Linked DNA regions of Callithrix jacchus. The protein of the gene in region 3 interacts with the protein of the main gene of each other region in a pairwise test. Links are inferred from orthologs where the notes say so. Each region holds a gene or a part of one and is shown on either strand. Other genes may lie near its edges. The genes, in order: NOD2, KAT7, VIM, YAE1, PPL, KIAA0408 and CRMP1.

Region 1 (3,500 bases), on a different chromosome or scaffold from region 3:
GAAGGGGCAGCGGGAGGGAGACTAATTACCTGGGGGGAAGGTAAGGAGAGGGCTGCCTGAGATTCTGCAACATGGAAGAATACAGCTGGCCCCTAACTCCCTTCCCCGATCCTTGCTTCTGGCCAGCGTCTTCCACTGGCTGGACCCATTAGGGAGGCCAAGCGGGCTGCTTGCTGGAGTAGTCCTCAGACATCAGCCTCCCATGAGCCAGAGACGGGTGGAGAAGCGAGAGAGTGGATGTGGCCAGGCAAGTGGAAGACAGCCAGCACCAAACTCTATTTCCCTAGGAGGGAGGATCATGACACTTGAGTGGGAATTTGGAAACCTATCTGTTGGAGCAATTTTCCTGATAGAAATAAGATTGTGCATTTTCCTGGGTAGTAGACTCATAGTTTTTACCCCAAGACACCAGGCACTCCTGGCCTGTGTGATCCTCATAGGCCAGTGCATCCCTGGAATTCTGGAATGGATCTTCCATTCTTGGTTAGGGATGTCCCTTCCCAGGATGTGCAGAAGGGCTCTGGGAAACCTGTGGGTCTGTCTCTATTTTCAGAGAAAGGTGAGGATGGCCTGGTTCTAGCTCATGGTGCTCAGACTGTGGTGTGTAAAGGCACTTGTGGAAATGCAGATTCCTGGGCCTGCCCCTAGTGATTCCCATTCAGTAGATTTGGGGTGGGGCCCAGGGCATCTATATTTTTAACAAACAACCCAGGTGATTCTGATATAAGTGGTCTCACCCTGGGAGAACTACTGGTCAGCAGCAACCAGCTTGGTTTTCCATTAGCAATTACTGTCCTTGAGCAAGTTCTGCTCTTCACCCTACACACACTAAAATTGCCAAGGCCGTAGGGTAGGGGAAGCAACCATGAGGTTGCTGTGAGTGCAGTGTGTGTGTGTGTGTGTGTGTGTGTGTGTGTGTGTGAGAGAGAGAGAGAGAGAGAGAGAGGAAGGGAGGAAGGGAGGAAGGAGGAGGGCTCTCCCACAGTGCCAACCTGTTTCTCTCCCACTTGAAGTGTTTCCATGCCAACCGAGATCCTCAGCCTCTAGGAAACCCCATATACACAGTGCCCCTGCATAGGTTTCTTTACACTCTGGCTCTTCCTGACTCCAGAGTGTTGGGTTTCAAAGTTTTTGGCTGTGACCCACAATGATTGAGAGAGAGACAGACAGACAGAGAGTGAACGAGCACACCCACCACCGTGTAAACGTGAAACCAAAGCTTCATGAAATGGCTTTGCTCTGTGAACTCTGATGCACTGTGCTCTCTTCTGTTCTGTTCAATCTGTATTTTAGAAATGCTGCTCAGGACCTCAAAATGGTTTGCATGTCCCACAGCCTGCAGTCTAAAAAATCACTGCTCTAGAGAAGTGGCCGTAAGAGGCCCTAAGGGAGAAGCTGCACCATGTCAGGGTTAGGAGTGGGGTTTGGAGCCAAGCTGCCTGGGCTCAAAGCCTTTATGTGTATCCTTGGCAAAGTCACTTCACTTGTCTGTGCCTCAGTTCCTTTCTCACGAATGCACAAAATAATGGTACCTGCTTCACTGGCTTGTCGTGAGGATGAAATAGTGTTATTATCGGGCAGTGCTAAGGATAGGGACCAGGGCTAGCGATCACGATTCTAGGTGGTTTTTACCATGCACCAGGTGCTCACAAGGCTTTATATACACAGCCTGGTGAGGCTGATAATACTGTTATCATAGATGAGGACACCAACAGATAACTAGTAAGTGGCTGATCAGATTCACAATATCCAGCTGAGGCGCTCCAGAGCCTGAGCTGTTAATATTCAGTCAGGGCCTCCCAGGTTTGCCTGAAGATAAAGAATCATGTGCACAGTTGTTAAAATATACAGATCCCTGGGCCCCACCCGACACATACTGGATCACCAGCTCCAGGATACAGGCCTGAGAATCTGTATTTTAGGGAAGCTTTCAGATGAACTTGTGATCAGGTGAGTTTTGGGAATGGTGCCCCAAGAGGAGTGGCAGGCCAGGCTTGCTGGGCAGGGACTGGCGGGTGGGAGTGTTATCACTGGGGTTAAGGACTGGGCACTAGCCACAGCCTGCCTGCCTGTTTCCAAAATTTGTGGCCGGTCTCATCCAGCTGGTCTACTGTCTGCTGGCCTAGGTGATGGTAAATTTCTCCAGGGGTAGCCTGTCTAGTTCAGGCTGTACCTTTCCCATATATCAGCTCCTTTCCACCATCGTCCCCTTTGTGAGGCTGTGATTATCATGTTCCTTTTGCAGAGATGGAAACATTGCTTCAAATTAGCTCTGTGATTTCCTTAGGATTCCGGGTGCTTTAGTGGCAGATCTGGGCCCTACGTCCTGGACCGTCTCTGTCATAGAGCACCACACCACGTCACCTCCCCCGCCAGGGACCTTGGGGTCTCCACTTTTCTGGGGTGCTCCATCTTTGCAGGGTTTCCTGGAAGCACAGATGCTGGCACTTCAGGGATGAATGAAAGTCTTTTTTGTAGATTTGTAGATTTTTTTCTTGTCTTTCCAGCTCCGTTTTCAAATGTATTTATCTTGTCTCTTTTAGTTTGCGTGATAACAATATCTCAGACCGAGGCGTCTGCAAGCTCATTGAACATGCTCTTCACTGCGAGCCATTGCAGAAGTTAGCGTAAGTCAGCCTGGGCTGTGGACATTGGGCCCTCAGTCCCCTGGTCTCACCCCCGGTCATGCAGCCTGGGTAGCTGTGAGTGATGGGCTGGGGCAGGGGCTGTTTGCATGATGGGGGGGTGCAGTTGATTCCTGCCCAGAGGGGAAGGGCAACCCTGGGATTGGGTGCTCCCTGTGCAGTGTGCTTTGCTTCTGTGTCTCCTCTCTTCTGGAAACTGAACAGTCTGTTCAATAACAAATTGACCGACGGCTGTGCACACTCCATGGCGAAGCTCCTTGCGTGCAAGCAGAACTTCTTGGCATTGAGGTGAGCCCAAGTTTTCCTTATTCCCTGGAAACTATTTTTTGCCCAACAGCTGAGTCAGTCTGGTCTGGTCTTGGCCTGGTGCTGCCCACACTGGCTGCTGACCTTCTGATTGAATGTAGGGGCAGTGTGTCATTTTGAGCAGGGGTTCTGTGTACTGCCATCATCTCCCCTGTAAACTCTGGACTAGCCCTGCTGAGGGCTTCCTGTCTTTTGACCTTTAACCCATAGGGCAAAAATGTTTTTCTAGTCCTCTTTCCTTTTCTGTGTCTAAGAGTGTCACAGCTCTCTGGGGTGACTGAGTTTCACGATGTATGTTGAGCTTGTCTCACTGGTGGAGGCATACGCAGTTACTTGCCACCCCAGCTGTGGCAGCCAGTGGCTGCAATACTCCCAGAAGGTCCTTTCACCATTCAGAGCATGCAAGGTTTGCAGTCTCATCTGGGTCTGCATTTCTGCTGCTTCAGTGTCTCCCAGTTTCAACTGGAGTCTCTCTCTCCTACCTGGCACTGTTAAATTGCCTCTCTAGCTGGCCTCTGGGTTGGGCTGGCTCTCTCTCTCTCTCTTTCC
Region 2 (3,500 bases), on a different chromosome or scaffold from region 3:
GATTGTGCCACTGCACTTCGGCCTGGGTGACAGAGGAGACCCTAATCTCAAAAAAGAGTTTTATATATCTATGCTTTTAAACAACTTTTTTTTTTTTTTTTTGAGACAGTCTTGCTCTGTCACCTAGGCTGGAGTGCAATGGTGCTATCTCCGCTCATTGCAGCCTCCACCTCCTAGGTGCAAGCAATTCTCCTGCCTCAGCCTCCCAAGTAGCTGGGATTACAGGCGTCTGCCACCATGCTTGGCTAATTGTACTTTTAGTAGAGATGGGTTGGCCAGTCTGGTCTCAAACTCCTGACATCAGGTGATCTGCCCGCCTCAGCCTTTCAAGTGTTAGGATTACAGGTGTGAGCCACAGTGCCTGGCCTTATACAACATTTAAAAATGCAAACTTTTAACTGCAGATGGCTGGCTGGCTGGTGGGCTGCATTAAAATAATTAGCACTTGAGGCTTTAGGAAAAGGGGGTACTTTGTGCCCCCTTGTGGCCAAGTGACCCTAGCTTTCTGCTGCTCAGCCAGGCTGCCTTGCCTTTTTTTTTTATTATTATTTTTTTTTATTTTAAGTCACAGGACTTTGTCTTAATTTCCTTATGCAACAAGGAACCTCCTCCTTGTTGAGGAGAGAAGGGGAGAAGGGCTGACAGGTAGTAGTGCGTGGTTTTTACCATCGTGAGTGGGTTTTCTAATCTGAACAAAGAAGACCATAATGATTAGGTGGTAATGAGAAGTTATGGGTAAAGGTGAGAGTAAAGTACTTAGCCACCCCAAGCTTCTGGAAATAAGCTGCTTAAGAATTTCCTGCCGGCTTGAGGCATTTGGTAATAAGCAAAGGTATTCTTATTTATTTGGCCTTTATGTAGTAGGTGATTTTAATCTCCTGGGCTAAAGCAGTGCCAGAATGTAAGCCAGAATACTTAGTTCCAGATTGCTATAAAAGTGTCATAAATATATTCAAATGACTTTGGAAGCCTTTGTTTTATGGAAAAAAAATCTCTGTTTTGCTGTATGTTCTCAGCGTGTCCGACTGTCCTATAGCTCATTAACCAGAGTTGACCTGTTACTCTTTCCTTTTTGAGAAGCAGTCTTGTTGGGAGGTGTTGGTTCCCTGATGTGAATTTCATTGTCTTGCAGGCCAAGTGTGTGTGGAAACACCCACCTGGTGATGAGATATATCGCAAAGGTTCCATCTCCGTGTTTGAAGTGGATGGCAAGAAAAACAAGGTAAAAAGTGGTGACTAGAAAGGAGTCGTAATGTATATTCAGAGGTTTCAGAAGAAATGTATTTTGTCTCTGTCACATCTCGGAGGACATGTTTCATTAACAATTATGGTATGTTTGAATTTTAGGCCTTTATCTGTCTAGGAATCAGTGGCCCACACATGAACTCTGTTTCTCTCTCTGCTTCCAGATCTACTGCCAAAACCTGTGCCTGTTGGCCAAACTTTTTCTGGACCATAAGACATTATATTATGATGTGGAACCCTTCCTGTTCTATGTTATGACAGAGGCGGACAACACTGGCTGTCACCTGATTGGATATTTTTCCAAGGTAAGCAGGATCTGGAGATGAATAAGCCAGTGGCCAGAGCAGGGTGATCGATGTTGGCAGTCGGGCAGCTAAAATCACTGACAGAAGAAGCTGTACTCTGGGCGTTGATGACACCCCATCCCTTAAATAAATTTTTTACGAAAGGCAAACACATGTATCAAAGATTGTTTAATGAAAATGAAGTTTTTATTAAAAGCTCTGGTTTATTCATTTCTAGAATTGTGGACTGGAGCTGCCTATTAGTGACTGGGCAGAGCCCTCCTTAGTATCCCGCAAGCCCACATCTTGTAGTCAAGCCAACTCTCCTGGCTTTGCCTGCCTCTGTGTTATTAGCTTAAAACCAGGGATATACTCCTTTAGCCTGATTGTTTAGCTGGACTCCTTTTAACACGGTCCCTTCAGTGATAACACCACTGTGCCTTTTAAAGACCCAAGGCCAGATTTTTTTTCCTTTCTTTCTTTCTTTTTTTTGAGACAGTCTCACTCTGTTGCCCAGGCTGGAGTGCAGCAGCGTGATCTCGACTCACTGCAACCTCCACCTCTGGGTTCAAGTGACCCTTCTGCCTCAGCCTCTTGAGTAGCTGGGATAACAGGTGCCCGCCACCACGCCTGGCTGATTTTTTGTGTGTTTTTAGTGGAGATGGTGTTTTACCATGTTGGCCAGGCTGGTCTCAAACTCCTGACCTCAAGTGATCCACCCTCCTCGATGTCCCAAAGTGCTGGGTTACAGGTGTGTACCACCGTGCCACGACCAAGGCCAGATATTGTTTATGGCCTTTAGTGTAACAACTTGATTGGAATATAATTCATACACCATAAATTCACGTACTGAAAGGCTACAATTTAGTGGTTTATAGTGTATTCACAGAGTTGTGCAGTCAACCCAGTTTGCATTATCCTAAAAAGAAATTCTTAGCAATCACTCCTGTTTTCACTCAGTCCCTCTCAGCCCTTCTCTATAAAGTTCCCTATTCTGGACATTTCTTATAAGTGGAATCATACATTTTGATTTGATTCAGTGTGATTGCTCTTTTTACCCTTTGCAGAATGGGGACCTACTGTATTTTTTTCCTTCCCTTTTCTTCCAGTAGGCAGCTCCTTTTCAAAAATTGCATTTAACCTTCTTGCCCTGCTCTGTGGCTGTTAGGAACTCAGAGTCAGCCCCCTTAAAATGAGACTAGAGGTCTCAGTTAGGGAAATCTGGATGATTAATGGCTTTAGCCATCATAAAAGGTGTGGATATAACAGCTATGCACCTGGCAGCCACTCCTTGGGACTGGTTAGCCAGGTGTTTTGCAAGCAACCTTATTTTATATCTGTGGAAGTGCTGAAATCTTTGGTTTCAAATCCTCATGACATGCTCATCTGTTTGCTCTTGATTTTAGGAAAAGAATTCATTCCTCAACTACAACGTATCCTGTATCCTTACCATGCCTCAGTACATGAGACAGGGCTATGGCAAGATGCTCATTGATTTCAGTAAGTGAAACTGCTAAGTCATAAGTTCTACACTTATGGCAGGGACCATGTGAATGTTGTTGTTTGTCTTTTTGTCCTGTGGTCTCTGCAATTCCTGGAATGTAGTGGAGGTACATGGATATTTAGTAAATGAATGAACAAGTAGGAAAAACCTGAACATTGTCATTCTGCCTGATACACCTTGAACATTGAAGGAATACTTAATTAGTAGGAGGTACAGAGGATGATAATGTAAGCTCTTTAGGATTATCCCAGTTTGCGACTTTTAAAGAGCACATGCATGCATGAGGCTTAAAAATCTGTTTCTTGATGCTAGGGATTTCACTTTTGTAGGGACTTGTCTAGAGGTAATATATATACCCGATGGACCCTTAGTGTAATGTACTCTGCCCTCATTAATTGTGGATTCTGTCTGTGAATTTGCTTACTCACTAAATTTTATTTTTAACCCCCAAATCAGTCCTAACATTT
Region 3 (3,125 bases):
GCCAATAGTGTCTTGGTAGTTAGCAGCTTCGACGGCAAAGTTCTCTTCCATTTCACGCATCTGGCGTTCCAGGGACTCGTTCTGCAGGAGGTGAGAAAGGTTTCTGGTGTTATTGCTCAGAAAAACCCAGCTATTCCCAGAACCATTTAGTCTTCTTGCAATAATTTCCATTAGTGGCAAATGACAACTACTCTAGTCGTAGGCGGAGAATGCAAGTACCAAGTCCTTCATATGAGAAGCAATGATATACACAAGCTAAAACCTTCAAGAGCGCCATCAAGTCCTTTTTGAGTTTGTCGTGATAAGTCATTTTCTTTGCATTACCGTATAAATTTTTATTCACTCAACATTTTGTTCAGGCTTCGCCATTAGCATAGTCAGCAGAATGGGTCATTATTTCCCCTCTTTTACTGCAGGGTTGGTACTCACGGTTCCTTTAAGAGCATCCACTTCACAGGTGAGGGACTGCACCTGTCTCCGGTACTCATTGGACTCCTGCTTTGCCTGGCGTAGGGCATCATTGTTTCGGTTGGCAGCCTCGGAGAGGTCAGCAAACTGTCGGGGAGAAAACAGAAATGTACATTGCTCCCATTCAAGTCTTGACTCTCTTAGAAAAAAAAGATCATATTTCCCACTGAATGTCTTCCAGTATAGGCTTAAATTTCTGTTTTGAAAGCCAGAGAAAGAGCAGTGGAACACTGACATTACTATCTTCAGAGTTCACTCTACTGTACTCATTTAAACACAGTGGAGGTCAAAGTATGGCATTGGGGTTTACTTGGAGGCACGGTTAAGAGGAAGGGAATCTGCTATTCTGAAGGAGGTGATATGGCCAGGAGTGGTGGCTTATGCCTGTAATCCCAGCATTTTGGGAGGCTGAGGCAAGGCAGATCACCTGAAGTCAGGAGTTCAAGACCAGCCTGGCCAACATGGTGAAACCCCATCTCTACTAAAAATACAAAAATTAGTCGGGCATGGTGGTGCTCGCCTATGGTCCAAGCTACTTGGGAGGCTGAGGCAGGAGAATTGCTTGAACCCGGGAGGTGGAGGTTGCAGTGAGCCAAGATGATGCTACTGCACTCCAGCCTGGGCAGTAGAGCAAGACTCCATCTCAAAAATAAATAAATAAATGTGAGCAACAAGTCAAAGCCAGCTTTTAACTGGAGCTACAGGATAGGAATTACACACAGGAATGGTGTTTTGAGAACTCAATGCTTTTCTTCTGTGCAGGCCACAGGGACTTGTTTCCTACCTTAGACTTGTACCATTCTTCTGCCTCCTGCAGGTTCTTGGCAGCCACACTTTCATACTGCTGACGTACGTCACGCAGGGCAGCCGTGAGGTCCGGCTTGGAAACGTCCACATCGATCTGGACATGCTGTTCCTGAATCTGAGCCTGCAGCTCCTGGATTTCCTGCAAAAAAAAAAAAAAAAAGCAGATAGAAGGTCAGCTGTGCCAACTGTGGGGGTTGCCTTACCTTCATTCATTTCCCGAAAGACACTCTACTAACCTCTTCGTGTATTTTCTTCAAAAAGGCAATCTCTTCTTGCAAGGATTCCACTTTGCGTTCAAGGTCAAGACGTGCCAGAGACGCATTGTCAACATCCTATTTTGAACAGAGAAAAGACAGGACATGGAGGATGTAAAAGTCTATGGCTTCTCTCACTTATTCATCTTAGATTAACCATCTAAACCTAGTCTCCTTACTATAGAAAAGGTGTTGACAAATTTTACCACCCTTGAGTAAGTTTAGAAATCATTTAGTGCTATCATATGCTACGCTTTCTCCTGCTCACTAATAAATTTTAATCATGACCCCTTGTGTTTTACTCAAGGTGGTGATCAGACAATTTTAAAATAAATAAATGTCTACAAATGTGGTAAACTGTACGCAATCATGACTGAATCCACATTTTACCAGTGACATTTTAAAATTACTTTTTAAGACTCAGAGTAGTGGCTCATGCCTGTAATCAACAAAATCCAACCTGTATAGATCAGGGGTCAGCAAACTGCAGCCCGTGGCTGTCTGTTTTTGTAAATAAAGTTTTACTGAAGGCTGGGCATGGTGGCTCATGCTTGTTAATCCCAGCACTTTGGGAGCCAGAGGCAGGGGATCACCTGAGGTCAGGAGTTCGAGACCAGCCTGGCCAGCATGGTGAAACCCCATCTCTACTAAAAATACAAAAATTAGCTGGGTGTGCTGGCACACGCCTGTAGTCTCAGCTATTTAGGAGGTTGAGGCAGGATAATTTCTTCAACCTAGGAGGCGAAGGTTGCAGTGAGCCGAGATCGTGCCATTGCACTCAAGCCTGGGTGACAGAGAAACAGTCTGTCTCAAAAAAATTAATTTAATTTAATTACTTTTGAAATCTAGAAAATCTCTGTCATAACATTTTTAAGATTGGTTTTGTAATTTCATGGAATAACATGATAATAGACATGGACAAAATTTCACAACTTCATGTACACTTGAGCACATAAAGAACAGAAACTCATGCTTTAAGAGTTTAAGTTTTTTTCTCCACTAGAATCTTCTGAATCTCATCCTTAGGCTCCAGAGCAAATATGTAGCCATCTGGCATCCATTGTACAAGGCTAGATTTATATTCAATAATAGCCCAATTCAGGAATATGGGCATTGCCTAAGATTCAGTTCAGGAAAAAATGGAAAAGACACGTAATTCTTAATGTATTTGCTTTGCTTTCTCTGATGGAGTTTTCTTCTAAAACTCCTTTGGCTCCTCTCATAAAGGCATGTCTTTTTCACTTGCTACTGTATCAGTTCAGTTAGCCTGTTTCTGAATCACTGACCAAGCTTGCAGATAATGAAACTACATGAATTTTTGCTGATTCAGCTGTCCTTCTATGTTTCCATTTGTAAAGGGCAACATTCCAAATCAGAATATGTACTTTTGCAACTAAGATTTTATTTTCTCTCTAAAGGATGCATGAGGATTGCTTATCTTGTCAGTAATTATATTTGGAGTTCAGTTTATACTCTTAGAGTATTAAACTGTTGAGACTTTTCTATCATCTTTGGGAAAAAATGAATGAAGAGTGGGTGATAAAAAGATCCAACTTAATGAAAACATTCATTTTTACTTGGTAAGCCCTAAAAAAG
Region 4 (4,217 bases), on a different chromosome or scaffold from region 3:
CATTTTGTTCCTAATTAAGATATATACATATCTTAATATATTTACATTAATAAAATATACATATTTATAGTTTATATCCTTTTTATTTGTGGAATGACAAATTCTCTCTGGAGATTTAATATTGTAACGTGAACCAAAAACCCACTCCCATACACTCATGGTTCTTACTTTACTTATTTTTAAATTTTTTTCATAGCACTTATTTTTTTTTTTTTTTTTTTGAGACAGAGTTTTCGCTCTTGTTACCCAGGCTGGAGTGCAATGGCGCTATCTCGGCTCACCGCAACCTCCGCCTCCTGGGTTCAGGCAATTCTCCTGCCTCAGCCTCCCGAGTAGCTGAGATTACAGGCACGCGCCACCATGCCCAGCTAATTTTTTGTATTTTTAGTAGAGACGGGGTTTCATCATATTGACCAGGATGGTCTCGATCTGTTGACCTCGTGATCCACCCGCCTCGGCCTCCCAAAGTGCTGGGGTTACAGGCTTGAGCCATAGCATTTATTTATGATCTAACAAACCTTATGTTACTTACATATTGCTTATTGTTTAACCTGTCAATTTTACATAACTATAAAGTCAAAAATGGTTAGGAACTTCTGTCTGTTCACTGATGTATCCGAAAGCCTAGAATGGTGCTTGACACAAGGTAGGTGTTCAAGAAATTGTTAGATAACTAAATCATTATCACATGACTCATTTCACTTAGGCAATGGGCAAAACAGGAATACTACAGGAGTTTATTCATTTACCAAGATCGAGATCAGCATCTACTATGTGTCAGAACCGTGCTGGTGTTGACACAAGTCCCCACCCTTACCAAATCAACAGTCTACCTTGGGGCGTATGAATAGAAATGGGAGGCAGAAGGATACTGTGCATCAGTGAAAAAAACGCCTTGGCTTTACAAACGTACTCTCTCTTTCTTACTGATCTCAAATTGGCTGCAGTATCTGACTTTTCGATTCTATTATCCTTTGCTCCACAAGCCTAACAGTTAAAAATGTCGGTTTGTCAAACCCTTTAAATGCAGAGGAGATTCCAACAGAGATAACGACTTTGGGCGATAACCGCCCATCGACTTTACTGCTTTTAACAATTTACCAATGTGCGCGTGTGTAAAATCCAGACCATGGTAGAGACTACGGTGGAAATGGAAGGTGTTTCACTGAGGGTCCTGGCTGCCTTCTGCAAAGGTGAAGGTCGTGCCGGCCACGCGAGGAAGTCCGCCTCGCTCACAACCGACAGGTGCACATCAATGACTTCGCTCAAAATCACCGCAAGCGAAGGTTGGGGCTGCGTCCACCCGCCACAGCCCGCCCCCGCGCACGCGCAGCCCCCTCCCGAGCTCCGATTTGCTGTCTTCGCCCCGCCTTCGGACCGGAAGGAGTTGTCGGCGCTTCCGGTGACCTGTAACACCGTAATTGCCTCGGTGATGTCGTGGGTTCAAGCGGCATCCTCGGTCCGTGGCCCTGGAGACGAAGGGGACGTGTTTGACGAGGAAGCAGATGAATCGCTCCTGGTGCAGCGGGAATGGCAGAGTCACATGCAGAGACGAGTCAAAGTAAACGTGGGTGGACGGCGCGGGGTGCTGGGTTGTGGAAAGAGGCGCGGAGTTGTCAAGAAGCTGGGTCCAGAAGGGCACCAGCGTGGCCCGGCGCTCCGCTCTTTATCCGTAGGAACGCGGTCCAACCCGCGTCTTGCTAGGATTTCTCAATGGTTACTTGAAAGTGTACGAAACAACAGGACGCGTTCTTTGAGCGCCTACGGGGTGCTTAGAAGCTGAGGACCGACTAAATTTTACTGTATCTGGACTTTAAACAGTGCAATTTGTTGAGGATCACAGGGAAAGGAGTTGGGGGGAAACATACACTGACTCTACTAATTATGGCTGTCAAAGGATGTGTAGGCAGTTTATATTAATTGCTTGAATGGATCGGGAGCCTGAAGTTAAGGAGTGGTATTAATCGAGACATACTGAAAAGATGAACTTAAGAGTGCTGTCAGAGGGCAATAAGGGAAAGCTAATGTGGAATACTGGTGTCTAGATAAGGGAATATTAAAGTTGATTTCTTCTTTATTTGTTAGATGTAACTTTTTCATCTCTAGTTTGTCTCACTATTCATTGAAACTAAGCTTAATTTCTGTGAGCAGACTTCAGAACCGAGTTCTGAATGAGGACCAAATGGTGAGGTCCACATCCACTTAATATATTTGCCAACCATTAAATTGCCGCTAACGCTGCAGTTGGGTATCTGCGCTGGTTTAATATTTCAGTAAAGTATTATTTGCTTAGCTCAAAAACCAAGTGGTCAGTTACAAAAATGCTTTATGTGAGGTTGGGGCTACCCTAGTAAGTATTGAGCATCTTCTGAGCGCTGTGGCCACCATAAGGGATGCAGAATGAAATCACTACCCACAGAGCTTTTGCAGGTTAGTTGAATTTAGGGATTAAGCAAAATTACTGAAACCAGACTTATCTTCCTTTTTTTTTAAACGATTTTCTCTCTCTGCTTTCCCATGTCTCCTCACCCACCCACACCATTCCAATCAGTTGGCAAGAGCCCAGATATGTATTTTTCCATATATTCATTTTGTGAAGACATTGCTAACACTGAGTTTTTGGTTTTTTTTTTTTTTTTTTTTAGTCTTTTGAAGCCGTTAGAAGAGTTTATTTTGTGCTTAGGATATTTTTCTAAGGCATTACAAGTTACACATCCAAACTCTTCAGTGGTATATTTTATATTCTAAAGGAGAGGGCTTTAGAGAAAACTTGTACATTTTACTACTGTAAGTCTAATGGATTCATATAGCAACAGAGCCTAAAAAGAAGGGGACATTGTCCACTACATAACGGTCAGTTGATTCATTGTATTTATGATTTTTCTCCTTCTTGTAAAGTCAAAACTATATGTATTCTAGCTTTTTAATGAGTAAAAGTACACTAAGTGTTCCCTCCTGTTGATTTCTACCTATGAAATACCACACAATATTAGCAGTCAGGAAAGAACAGGAGAACATGAAGTTTGTCTCTTAAAAATTATGAAAATGTTAATGATTTTAAAACATCAAGCATTACAAACTGTAAAATCAATTAAGAACTTTCTGTATATGAGGACAAAGATATATTTAAAATATATACAAGAAGATGCTTTTTCCTGAGTAGAATGCAAACTTTGTTTTATATTAAGCTTCTGAGAATTTTCAAAATGTAAAATACCAAGGATTTTCCACATGAGACAAAAGTCAGGAATGTTCACCTTCACATCCAAAAAGAAAAATTTTTTTAATTATTTCAAACTTATATTTCAAACTTATATACCTGGTGTTTTTATGTTCTGAATGTAGACTCTGATTTAATGACAATCTAGACTGAACCCTGCAATATACAAGCAAGTCACAGCAAGAAGTTCAGCAAGAATGATATAAAATCTTAAATGAATGGCCAAGATTTTAAATTATCAACAGAAAGTTCAATTGATGGATCTAAAAAGAAATGCTGTTTACTAAAACATTAAAAAAAAATTCAGGAAATTATCATCCAATTTGAAAAATAAAAAAAATGTAACCCATAGTAAATAAAAAATACAAGAGAAAGTCAGCCTTTATTGGAATCAAGACAATACCATGGACTTAAAAACTTCCTAAGTCACTAGCATATCCTGTATTAGCATGTGTCGTAAACTGTAATAAATTAATATAAGGTAGTTTTTATTAGTTGCAACCTAAAAATACGAGGAAATTTTGGAATATATTTCTGAAAAGAACACAGAATTGTCACTGACATACATATTTCTTAAGACAATGATCAGAGTTCCCATTATGGGAAATATCTTCCTTTTTTCACACAGTGAAGCTAAGAAAAATTATATCAAATAAGAAATATTTTTCTCTAAAATAATCTTTAACACCCCAATAATGCAATACTTGGGAAATGTAAATTTTCAAATCTGACTTGAAACAGGTTATTATTAAATAAATATACATACATCTTACTGCTTGGCACAATAGTTCAAAAATTAGAGAACTATTTAAACCATCATCAACAGTGCTTAAATCATATTTCAAACTTATATAACTAGCGCTTTTATGTTCTGAATGTAGTCTCTGATTTAATGACAATCTAGACTGAACCCTGCAATATACAAGCAAGTCACAGTTCACTTCAAACTAAAAGAAATGACCAATCTTCTGTTTTTATCAAAATCATAATACTAAGA
Region 5 (3,500 bases), on a different chromosome or scaffold from region 3:
TCTGATGGCATGTGCAGACATGTCCCGAGCTTGTTGGCCCCTGTCCATCCTCCTTGGGGACCGGGGCCAGAGTCTGACCCTCAGGAACATGGGGCCCAGGGATGAGTGTGTGGGGTTTTAATTTTTGCAAAACCTATAATATATATGCAGATAAATAAAACAAAATTTGCGTTTTTTTTTTTAAGAGAATCTTGCCCTGTCACCCAGGCTAGAGTGCCATGGTGCCATCTCGGCTCACTGCAACCTCTGCCTCCTGAGATCAAGTGACTCTCCTGCCTCAGCCTTCTGAGCAGCTGGGATTACACGTGTCCACTACCACGCCCGGCTAATTTATATTTATATATATATATATATATATATATATATATATATTTTTTTTTTTTTTTTTTTGAGACAGAGTTTCGCCCTTGTTACCCAGGCTGGAGTGCAATAACGCGATCTCGGCTCACCACAACCTCCGCCTTCTGGGTTCAGGCAATTCTCCTGCCTCAGCCTCCTGAGTAGCTGTGATGACAGGCACGCGCCACCATGCCCAGCTAATTTCCTGCATCTTTAGTAGAGATGGGGTTTCACCATGTTGACCAGGATGGTCTCGATATCTTGACCTCATGATCCACCCGCCTCGGCCTCCCAAAGTGCTGTGATTACAGGCTTGAGCCACCGTGCCCGGCCTAATTTTTATATTTTTAGTAGAGATGGGGTTTCACCATGTTGGTCAGATTGGTCTCAAACACCTGACCTCAGGTGATCCTCCCCTCTCAGCCTCCCAAAGTGCTGGGATTACAGGCAGGAGCCACTGTGCCCGGCCAATTTGCCATTTTTAAGTGTACAATTCAGTGGCATTCATTGTTTCACAATGCAACCATTACCACTAGCTATCCAACTCTTTCCACCACCCCAAACAGAAACCCTGGCCGGGCGTGGTGGCTCACGCCTGTAATCCCAGCACTTTGGGAGGTCGAGGCAGATGGATCACCAGAGGTCAGGAGTTCAAGACCAGCCTAGCCAATATGATGAAATGCCATCTCTACTAAAAATATAAAAGTTAGCCAGGCATGGTGGCGCATACCTGAAATCCCATCTACTTGGGAGGCTGAGGCAGGATAATCGCTTAAACCTGGGAGGCAGAGGTTGCAGTGAACCAAAATCCTGCCACTGCACTGCAGCCTGGGTGACAGAGAGAGACTCCAGCTCAAAAAAAAAAAACCTGTACCCATTAGGCAGTAAGTCTCCATTCCTGCTCCCCAGCCCTGGTCACCTCTGTTCTGCTTGCTGTCTCTGTGGACCTGCCTATTCCAGATGTTTCACATCTGGAGTGAATGTGGAGGATAAGCAGAATCATGCAGTCTCCGCTCTTTTGTGTCACTGAGCATCATGTTTGCTGGGCTTATCCGTGTCGTAGCATTTTGAGTGCTTCGCTCCTTTTCATGGCTGAATCATATCCCATTGTACGGACAGACCAGTGTGTATCCACTCATCTGTGGCTGGATGCTTGTCTGTTTACAGAGGAATGAGAGTTCTTAACAAGCTGCGGGTGACTCTTAGGACTGAGGTGTCTGGGGGGAAGCTGGATGTGGGCAACCCCATGTCCTTCCTCGTTCACTGTCTTGAGCGGCACAGTGGGGGCTTCAGGTGCTGTTCATGGCTGCAGCCCAAGTGCTCAGCCTGTGGGGAGGGGGGATTGCTGACACACACCCCTCTGTACCCCCTTGGAGGTTCATGCAGGAGAGGGGCAAATTGCTGGGCCAGGGGTTAGCAGACAGTGACCCAAGAGTTCATAGACTGAAGAATGGGCAAGAGAATTTTTGAGAACATAAAGGGGAGGTTATTATCAAAACCTAGAAAGAAGGTATAAAGTCTGGGTGTTCCTAGTGCAGAGAGAGGAATGGAATCAAAGACACCCCAAAACTTACTTGTATATGAAAGGAAGCATATCACAGAGGTGTCATCTCGTGGATGGGTGGGAAAGGACCCGGCTTCTCCCCAAGGAGCTGGCTCGGGGAGGGTGGGGCTGTCTCCATGAAGGGAGCCTCAGGTTCAGCACAGCGTCCCATCTGAGGGATGAGCTTGAAGCCTCAGACAGAAGCCCAGGTGCTTCTAGTGGTTTCCTGGCTGTGACAGGGCCACATTCTCCCCTAGTTCCACAAAGACATGAAGGACGCTCAGGAGCTGCTGCGCAAGGTGGACTCGGACCTAAACCAGAAATACGGCCCCGACTTCAAGGACCGGTACCAGATTGAGCTGCTACTGCGGGAGCTGGATGTGAGCAATGGCCCAGGACCCCTGCTGGCTTGGGGCAGGGGAGCGGGGACCCCTCTATACCACTCCCGTCCTCAACCCTGGACAGGCCCCTCCACAGCCCCCGCCTATTGATCCCAGCCCCCACACAGCACCCTCCCACCAGGGGAAAGGCTGTTGGTCTCACCCGGGTCCCCTACCCCACTTTCTCCAGGACCAGGAGAAGGTGCTGGACAAGTATGAGGACGTGGTGCGGGGTCTGCAGAAGCGAGGCCAACAGGTGGTGCCCCTCAAGTACCGCCGGGAGACGCCACTCAAGCCCATCCCCGTGGAGGCACTCTGTGACTTTGAGGGGGAACAGGTGCGTGGGGCCAGCTTCTCTGTTCACGTCACTACAAAGTCTTTGGGGTAACATGGCTGGATGCGGGGCCTCAGGCAACGTTCTTGGGAACCTTTGCCTGTTTCCATGGTTGGTGTCATTCTGCCCACCCTTCCCCTCATGCAGGTACACTGACACCCCTATGTGACCCCCACCCCAGCTGGCCTGGCCTGTGTTCCACCTGCTTAGCAACCCCAGCCACTCCCCAGAAGTCCCAGGGCAGGTTCTCATTGGCCCACTGTGAGTCATGTGTCTGCCCTACACCAATCACTGTGGCCGGAGAATTCGTGTCCACCCTATACCAATGACTGTGGCTGGGGAATGCCAGTCTCATTGGCCAGATCCAAGTCAGTGTCCATCTGGAGCTTGGGAATGGAGAAGGAATGAGACCACAGGGACTGGGAATCAGGAGGGAAGGTTCTCCAAAGGGAAATGGAAGTGGGTTGCTGGACTGGCAGCCTCAACACCTGTGTCTCTCCTGCGTGCCCCTCCCAACTCGATGGGCAGAGTCCAGGCAAAGAGCCAGGGCTCCTCAGGTTCAAGAGTCGGGTGCAGGAGTGAGATGGCTACCGGGCTCCCAGGCCATCTCACTCCTCAGCCCCTGCCGGGATCCTCACTGTCTGGCCTGCCCCCGCTAGGGCTTGATATCGCGGGGCTACAGCTACACCCTGCAGAAGAACAACGGGGAGAGCTGGGAGCTCACAGACAGCACTGGGAACAGGCTGATCGCTCCTGCCGTCTGCTTTGTGATCCCCCCCACAGACCCCGAGGCCCTGGCTCTGGCTGACAGGTACAAGGGCAAAGGCGGGAGCCTGCACGGACCAGCCCTACTCCTGAGGCTTCTCAGGCCCCATTCACAGCCCTGGGCATTCGGACTCAGCCT
Region 6 (3,500 bases), on a different chromosome or scaffold from region 3:
CTGGGCATGGTGGCGCGGGACTGTAGTCCCAGCTACTCGGGAGGTTGAGGCAGGAGAATTGCTTGAACCCAGGAGGCAGAGGTTGCGGTGAGCAAGATCGCGCCATTGCACTCCAGTCTGGGTAACAAGAGCAAACTCCGTCTCAAAAAAAAAAAAAAAAAACAGAAAGAAAAAAGAGAAACGTTTCTTCACATGTCGCAGAGAATCCATAAAATTTTTTAAACTAAAATTAAGAAATCAACACTTGGACAAATAACCTCATGCCATAAGCATAACTGAATTTGTTTAACATTTATCACAAAGTTCTCTGTATTAAATCAGATGTAAATCATTAAGCCATATACTGGAGAATTGTAAATTCCCAGGTATGCACATATATCTTCAGTGATTTTAAGTGATAACATCTAATGAGAGGATACAGGCTATTAAGATGCTCATAGTTCTCTGTTCAGCCACTATCCACAATCATTGCATTTGCTGTGACAAAACCAAGATGTTCATACTTGGATTATTTGAAACTTGGAATAATCCAGATAGAAACTCTGGATAGAATTTATAGACATCTGGAATTTTTTTTCACACTTTAGTCTCCTGCCTGTATCCTTTGATAGAATAATCAAATAACCATTGACAAGGGCTGAGTACCAAGTAACTTAGATTCCCTTGAACAAAATCGTTTTCCATCAATAACACTGTTATTTGTTTATTCATACCTCACCTAAGTCCCCAAGAAAATTTAAGATGGCATAAAATTAGGTATAATATAAAATATGCAAAAACAAAAATGGAAAGATGAGCTGAAGACAGTAGGAAGGATCATATGTGAAATGTACCAGTGAGTCTTTCTAGTAACTAACAAAAATTATTAGGTGCATGTATCTTCAAATTCAAATGATAAGGCAAATTTATTTCCCAGGAATAGCATGCTTTCCCCCTGGTTTTGCAACTAAAGCAATTTTGTTTTCACCCATGACTTCTCAAAAACAGGACAGTGTCACCAACACCATCCTTAAATTTAACATGTCACTTTTTAGGGTTGCTTCTTATAATATCCCTCAAGGTCTGCCCAAATCATAATGCCCACAGAAGTTCAGTACAAATAATTTGGCAGGGACCGAACGATCGATGCATGGCTTCAGTTTGATGCTATCCTGACTTCATATAATAAATACTAATAAATTTATAAGCATTAGAAAAATAAATGCACATATATTTTTCAGGCATCAATTTCTAGTGCTTCTCTCAACTGAGTTATCAGTATATATTAAGCAGCAATAAATCTGTTATATTACTTGAATAATACATGTGGTGTAGATGTTGATTGTGGCTGTTAAATATAGAGTCATTTGCTTTGATAGTCATCTGACAGTCTCTTGCAGTTTGACAAGATTTTACGTGACTCAGGACTAAAGAGAAAGCCACTTCTTTCCTCTATTCAGAAGTGAAGTGAATGAGTGTGTTTAGCAGGTTTAACTAAGATGTCATAAAGAAGTTATTTGGGGTCTGCTTTAATATGACTAATCGATGATCAAAGCCTTGCAGTTCTATTATATCATGTAGGGTATTATCATATTTGTTTTAATCTAGATGAGAAACTTTTTAAAAATGTGTATCACCTTGACAAATTTTTTAAATCTCAGTAATATTTAGCCCTCATCAATGTAATTGACCAATCAAAGGAAACATCCTTTGACGGACAAGTGACTATTTAGGGACCAGAATAAATTGACTTACTATATGAGATTGTCAAGTATTTATTTAGACAGTTAAATATTAGGGTACAAGTAGGACCAGACATTTTAAAACTATGACTTTACTGTTAAATTCTCACTACACCCTAAAAGCAATTAGGTAGTATGGCCAGTAATTGATTCAGACCACTCTAATTTTGTGACAGTGTTTCTGTATTTATATACAGATACAGATTTATTTTATTTTTGAACGAGTTGATTGCTAGTCAGAAAGACTCTGCATCCATGTATTGCCCTGCTAAAAGTAGCCTTTATGTTTCATCAAACTTGTTCCAGCAAATCCATATTTTAGAGGCACCGGGAATTATATTTGAATAAGGCAAAGAGACCTCAAAGCAGTTTGCTTAGTATCAAGAGTATTATTAACAAAGTGAATTAGGGGAAAAGAAATTTTAATTTTGTTTTCTTACAGCTTTGCCAGGAAGTAAAGCTTCGGAGGAAAATCAATATGAATGAACGTGCTAAGATCATTGATCTTTACCATGAGAAGACCATTCCAGACAAAATAGTAGAATCTTCCCCAAATTACCCTGATGTAGGACAATGTGAATTTACAAGGATGAATCTCAAAGATGGTCTGAGAAATGAAAATAAAACAGAACAGAGCTTAGTCAGTGGAGGAAATCAAATGTGTAAGGAACAAAAAGCAACAAAAAAATCAAAAGTAGGGTTTTTGGATCCTCTGGCTACAGACACCCAAAAAGAATGTGAGGCCTGGCCTGACCTGAGTACTTCTGAGGAAGAGAACAAGAGCTGTTCTGGCGCCCTCAATACAGTAAGTAAGACGTGATTGGCCTAGCACTGTTTCTAAAGAAATATTTACATTTCAAAGTGGTAACGAGCTGTTGCTTATATGTGTAAAGGCTCTTGAAGAACTTGTGAAGGTTAGTGAAGAACTGTGCAGCTTTCAAGAGGAAATTCAAAAGCGGTCTAACCATAGAAGGTAGGCAGATACATCTGATTATTTTAGATTGGTAAATCAAAAAGAATATTGTTTTTAATGAATCCAAACTGCTTCCTCCTTACATGTAAGAACTATTGAGTTATTAAAATGCATTATCTAGGGTGGGAGATAGAAACTTTAATTTTTTGTTTGTTTGTTTGTTTTTGAAATAGAATCTCGCTCTGTTTCCCAGGCTGGAGTGCATGTTTTTGAAATAGAATCTCGCTCTGTTTCCCAGGCTGGAGTGCAGTGGTGTGATCTCAGCTCGCTCTGAACCCACTGCCTTAGCAGTTCAAGCAATTCTTCTGCCTTAGCCTCCCAAGTAGCTGGGACTACAGGCACAAGCCGCTATGCCCAGCTATATATTTTTTTGTGTATTTTTAACAGAGACAGTATTTCACCACGTTGGCCAGCCTGGCCTCGAACTACTGACCTCAAATAATCTCCCTGCCTCAGCCTCCCAAAGTGCTGGGATTACAGGTGTGAGCCACAGCACAAGGCCAGAAACTATAATTGTATATTTCTCTGTTCACTAATTTTTGAAGCAAATCTTCCAATTATCTTTGTAATCTGACTGTTAGTAACTCTTTACTCTTTTTGGTGTTTAATTAAGGTAGACCCTCCATAAAAAAATTAGTAAGTGGGCCAGGCACAGTGGCTCACACCTGTAATCCCAGCATTTTGGGAGGCCGAGGCAGACAGATCACCTGAGGTCAGGAGTTCGAGATCAGCCTGACCAACATGGAGAAACACAATCTCTACTAAAAATAAAAAAATTTAGCCTGGTGTGATGGCACATGCTTGTA
Region 7 (4,254 bases), on a different chromosome or scaffold from region 3:
AGCTCTGGCTTGCAGCTGGCAGAGCCTGGAGTTGAAAGGACAGCTTCCAGCATGGGACATTGCAAGAAGTACTGGTGCTCCCCTCTGCAGTCCCCATCCAGTCCTGACTTTGCTTGTCTGGACTCGCCTGAGGAAGGGTCGGCAGCTGGGATCCTGCCTCTCCAGAAAGTGCAGCTGGGACTGCAAAGTCTCCAGGGACTTCTAGGGTCCTCTGCCTGATAATCTTGAGAAATAAGGGAAAGTGTCCATAGGAGGCGGGTGGTGCCTGGCCTCAGAAGAGAGCCCCAGCAGAGCGACCCCCACATCAGAGGAATCCCAGAATGCCCAGGCTACAAGCTCCAGGAGCAACAAAAGCAGACTGTGCCCCTCGAATTGGGGGAGATCTGTCTGGTTGACTGCCAGCTGTGTGTGTGGTCATCTGTGTCTCTGGGCGTCTTTCTCTGGAGCGTTTTCATTTAAGCTTTTGACTCCCTTATCCCTGGTGCGGACTAGTGTGTGGGCATCCTGTTGTCAGTTTACGATGCACGTGTGGATTCACCTTGAGTTTGCCTTTGATATTGGTGTGTCGTGTGGTGTCACTGGAGTGCACGTGTATGTGTGTGTCACTGGTTCCCATGCAAAAATGTACTTCTCTTGCGTGTCTGTGGGAGTATGCCTCTAGCATGTCCCTCTTGGCTGCTGCACCACCCTTCCTGACCCTTACCACCCCTGGGCCCACCATGCGGGTGCTTTTCTCACCTCCTCCTCCTCTCTTTAGAAGGTCAGCTCCTGGAAGGCAGGCACTTGGTCTGTTTCGTCCATGGCTCTGTTCCCAGCTTCTACAACAGTGCCAGGCACTAGTGGGCGCTCAGTAAAATAATGCTGAGGGAATGTACGGTGTGTCCAGTGCATGTGCCTCTTCAGTCGTGCAGTTAATCTTGGTGTGATGCTGTGTGTGAGTGCAGTTGTAAGACAATGAGATTTTCTGGTGTGTGTGTAATGAACGCGGAATGTGCACAAGCATGTGTGCGTGTATGTGTGTACAACATTGAGTATGGTGTGCATGAACCAGCCCCTGTGTATCTCGGGAGAGCGTGTGTAATTGACTCGTGTGCGTGTCAGCATGTCTGTGTATCTCTCGTGTTTGGTGTAATTGGCGTGCCGGTATGAACCCGCGTGTGCCTCCGGAGCATGTGGGCGTGCGGGTGTACGCACACCGCTCCCGGCCCGCGCTCTCCTGGCGCCCTGCGCTCCGCCTGGGGGCGGGGAGTGGGGGTGCGGCGAGGGCACTGCGGTGCTGCGGCCCGCCCTCCGCGCTGCGGCTCCGGCGCGTCACCGTCCCTCCCCGCCCCAGTCGCGGTCCCCGCCTCCCGGTCCTTTGTAGCCGGCCGCGCCGTTAGCCCGCAGCCTCCCGGAGGCCCCGCCCCGGCCCCGCCCCGGCGTGCGCCCCGCCCCGCCTCTCTCCTCCCCGGGCCGCAGTCGCGCCGGGGCCGCCGCGGGCCCGCACCGAGGCGCGGAGCGCGGCGCACGGTGGTGGCCAGGGCCGCGGGCGGGCGGGCGGGAGCGCGGCGGGTGGCCGGCCTTGGAGGGGTATGGCGGACCGGCGGCGCGCGTGGAACACGGAGGACGACCTGCCCGTGTACCTGGCGCGGCCGGGCAGCGCGGCGCAGACCCCGCGCCAGAAGTACGGCGGCATGTTCGCCGCGGTGGAGGGCGCCTACGAGAACAAGACCATCGACTTCGACGCCTACAGCGTGGGCCGCCGCGGCTCGGCGCGCACGCCGCGCAGCGCTGGCCGGCCCGACGCTGTCGGACTGCCGGGGCCGGGCGGCAGCGAGGACACGGCCAGCGACGTGAGCGAGCCCTCGGGCTCCGCGGTCAGCTCGCCCGGAGAGCGCGACGAGCGGCCCCCGGCGCTGCGCATCCGCTGCCCAGCGCCCCGCGACCTGCCCCTCGGCCGGGACAATGGCCAGGTACCCTCGGGGAGCGCGCGGGCCGGACGAGGGGGGCGGGGCCGGGGAGGACCCCGGCGTGGGCCGCCCGAGGGCAGTGCCTGGGTCCCGGGTGTTGGGGCAGCAGCCGCCAGGCTGGGGAGAGCCAGGGGGCGGCCCCTCCCCCACCTCATCATGAGAGAGGTTCCCAGAGCTGGTGCGTCTCGGTCAGGGCTGGCCGGCGTGGTCCGTGAGACTCCGAAGGGATCTCCCGGGTCCAGTCGCGGCTCGTCTTCTGCAGAAAGGGAGAGCAAGGTTCTGAGAGGGGAAGTAAGTTGGCTAAAGCCACCTCATGGTCGCTTAAAACGCCAGGGAACCTCTGGGATGAATCTAAACCAGGCTCTTCATTCTGTTTTGTGAAAAGAACTGGAGCTCCGTTCCGTGTTGGTCCATTCATCCATCCACTCACTTGGTAGTAATTACAGAGCACCTACTGTGTGCTGGGCCCCGGGAGAGGTTCCGCGAGTCGCCTGCGGCCATACAGCCTCAAGCTGGAAGGAGCTTTATCCCGAGCGCTCCCCTCATGCTTGCTGGGGGGAAGGATTTGGTGAAGGATTTAGGTCGTCGGGCAGTTGGAGCCGTAAGCCCCTACCCGCAAGCGCCAACATATTCAAGGGGCACTCCTGAGCTCCACAGCACACACCAGTGTGCCTGCTTCACAGAGCAAGGTGGAGTTAGAGCTGGGATTTTGAATCGGGGTTTCTAGCCTTCCAGACTTGAACATGGGACCGGGAGGATCAGGGAGAGGGACCCTGTGGGTATTCTCCCTTGAGCTGGGGGTCACCAGGGAACTGGGGGAAGAAGGGCGGATGGATGGCATAACCTTTGGATAGACCGACGAGAGCCAGGGTCAGGTGCCGGAAAAACCGCAGTTGGAGTACCCGAGGGCTGGGAAGCTTTCGGCTTGGCCCAGAACTGGATGCCTGAGAACTGCTAGGTACCGGGCCCAGGGTAGGCTCTAGATCCCTGGCTCTGCAACCTGGCCCCACCCTCCAGAAGTTCCCAGGCTAGGGTGAGCGACGGATTCATTGTGAGAATTAAATCAGTTAATGCCGGTAGGTAATGAGCATTCAATAAATGTTTGTTGTTGACTTTTACTACGATCATCATTTTAATTAAATCTTTCCTTCTTAAATGCTGTGAGTGACCTAAAGTGAGCCTGAAGGGAAGCAGAGCTTATCGGGGCAAATATCTGAGAGGGCTTCCTGGAGGAATAGGAGCAGGGGGCTGGTAGACGCGGTGGTGGGCCTCCTCGGACCCCATCCCTTCGAAGTCGGGCTCACTGTAGCTCCGGAGCTCTCCGTGGTCCTGAAGCCGGCGCCTCCCCGAGAGAGAGGTCCAACAGCAAGGGTGGTGGAGTGGTCAGAAAGGGAGATGGTGCGAGAGTCCAGCCTCCTCTTCCCCACCCCTTCTTTATCTCCTCCTGTCCACTGCCTTCCCTGGTGGTCCGACCTCGCTTGGGATCCAATCCAAACTCCAGAGCCCTATGGGGAGGCTTCTGGGCCGCGGGCCGAGAAGCCGGACCAGCACCAGGGAACCCGGGTTTCCAGCCAAGGCGCTTTGCTCTCTTGAGCCTCAGCTTCTCCATCTATCAGATGGGGGTGGCCGTCTTCTCTCGACCTTCCTCAAGGCGTGGTGGAGTACCAGGGAGGCAAGGGCGCTTTGTGCACGGCCCGTAGCTGTCCTGAGGCGAGTTCTTTTGGAGCTGTGGTCAATGTCACAAACGGCAGCATCGCCCCCGGGGCACGGCCTGGGCCGACCCCGCAGCTGCGCCTTAACGCTTGGGGACGCTGGTCGCTTCACCTCTCCCGTTCCTCTCCTGCTCCTTCCTCTTCTCTCTGCGGCCCCCTCTGCCTTTCTCCATGGCTTCTCAGGGACCGGACAAAAGGCTGCGCCTCTGGCGCGCGCAGGGCTCCGAAAGCACTCGAGTTTTGCGACTATTGAGCTCAGGGGATCGCGATCTCCACGGAGGGAGGGTTTTACTTTCTGCGAGAGAACGGCGGTGGAGCTTGGGTTACAGCGGGCGAGGGTTCCGGGGCGGGCCTCACCGCTCCAATGCTTTGCAACGGGTGCCCCGGCCCTTCCCCCGCCCGCAAGGCTTCTCCCTGGGCTGCAGGAAGGTTTTCTGAGGCGCAGGCGCAACGATTGCAGCTGCCAGAGGCTGAGCGGCTGCGGCGCTTTGTACCCGCGAAATCTGCTTGGGAGCAGCGATCTGTTTGGCCAGTGGCAGGAGAATGCTCCTCCCCCTGATACGCACGTGGTCTTGTCCCTTGCTCTGGAGCTT

What was found.
Region 1: the proteins of VIM (region 3) and NOD2 interact in binary tests that used the Homo sapiens proteins (3 or more experiments, as listed by UniProt). The link is inferred for Callithrix jacchus from reciprocal best matches to the Homo sapiens genes VIM and NOD2.
Region 2: the proteins of VIM (region 3) and KAT7 interact in binary tests that used the Homo sapiens proteins (3 or more experiments, as listed by UniProt). The link is inferred for Callithrix jacchus from reciprocal best matches to the Homo sapiens genes VIM and KAT7.
Region 4: the proteins of VIM (region 3) and YAE1 interact in a two-hybrid assay, tested with the Homo sapiens proteins (2 studies listed by BioGRID and IntAct). The link is inferred for Callithrix jacchus from reciprocal best matches to the Homo sapiens genes VIM and YAE1.
Region 5: the proteins of VIM (region 3) and PPL interact in binary tests that used the Homo sapiens proteins (3 or more experiments, as listed by UniProt). The link is inferred for Callithrix jacchus from reciprocal best matches to the Homo sapiens genes VIM and PPL.
Region 6: the proteins of VIM (region 3) and KIAA0408 interact in binary tests that used the Homo sapiens proteins (3 or more experiments, as listed by UniProt). The link is inferred for Callithrix jacchus from reciprocal best matches to the Homo sapiens genes VIM and KIAA0408.
Region 7: the proteins of VIM (region 3) and CRMP1 interact in binary tests that used the Homo sapiens proteins (3 or more experiments, as listed by UniProt). The link is inferred for Callithrix jacchus from reciprocal best matches to the Homo sapiens genes VIM and CRMP1.

The regions. Positions count from the first base shown.
Region 1 is NC_133521.1:8,640,257-8,643,756, forward strand, and holds part of NOD2 (nucleotide-binding oligomerization domain-containing protein 2), read left to right. Parts: intron 1-2,543; coding exon 2,544-2,627; intron 2,628-2,849; coding exon 2,850-2,933; intron 2,934-3,500. UniProt on the Homo sapiens protein: Pattern recognition receptor (PRR) that detects bacterial peptidoglycan fragments and other danger signals and plays an important role in gastrointestinal immunity.
Region 2 is NC_133506.1:116,500,716-116,504,215, reverse strand, and holds part of KAT7 (histone acetyltransferase KAT7), read left to right. Parts: intron 1-1,132; coding exon 1,133-1,222; intron 1,223-1,409; coding exon 1,410-1,550; intron 1,551-2,935; coding exon 2,936-3,029; intron 3,030-3,500. UniProt on the Homo sapiens protein: Catalytic subunit of histone acetyltransferase HBO1 complexes, which specifically mediate acetylation of histone H3 at 'Lys-14' (H3K14ac), thereby regulating various processes, such as gene transcription, protein ubiquitination, immune regulation, stem cell pluripotent and self-renewal maintenance and embryonic development.
Region 3 is NC_133508.1:18,041,871-18,044,995, reverse strand, and holds part of VIM (vimentin), read right to left. Parts: intron 1,608-3,125; coding exon 1,512-1,607; intron 1,415-1,511; coding exon 1,253-1,414; intron 556-1,252; coding exon 430-555; intron 82-429; coding exon 1-81. UniProt on the Homo sapiens protein: Vimentins are class-III intermediate filaments found in various non-epithelial cells, especially mesenchymal cells. Vimentin is attached to the nucleus, endoplasmic reticulum, and mitochondria, either laterally or terminally.
Region 4 is NC_133512.1:8,032,669-8,036,885, forward strand, and holds the start of YAE1 (protein YAE1 homolog), read left to right. Parts: upstream 1-1,417; 5' UTR 1,418-1,432; coding exon 1,433-1,567; exon of another isoform or gene 1,568-4,217. UniProt on the Homo sapiens protein: The complex LTO1:YAE1 functions as a target specific adapter that probably recruits apo-ABCE1 to the cytosolic iron-sulfur protein assembly (CIA) complex machinery. May be required for biogenesis of the large ribosomal subunit and initiation of translation.
Region 5 is NC_133513.1:7,012,278-7,015,777, reverse strand, and holds part of PPL (periplakin), read left to right. Parts: intron 1-2,139; coding exon 2,140-2,262; intron 2,263-2,452; coding exon 2,453-2,599; intron 2,600-3,255; coding exon 3,256-3,407; intron 3,408-3,500. UniProt on the Homo sapiens protein: Component of the cornified envelope of keratinocytes. May link the cornified envelope to desmosomes and intermediate filaments. May act as a localization signal in PKB/AKT-mediated signaling.
Region 6 is NC_133505.1:134,018,610-134,022,109, reverse strand, and holds part of KIAA0408 (uncharacterized protein KIAA0408 homolog), read left to right. Parts: intron 1-2,163; coding exon 2,164-2,526; intron 2,527-2,614; coding exon 2,615-2,694; intron 2,695-3,500.
Region 7 is NC_133504.1:186,105,663-186,109,916, reverse strand, and holds the start of CRMP1 (dihydropyrimidinase-related protein 1), read left to right. Parts: upstream 1-1,454; 5' UTR 1,455-1,571; coding exon 1,572-1,952; intron 1,953-4,126; exon of another isoform or gene 4,127-4,204; coding exon of another isoform or gene 4,205-4,254.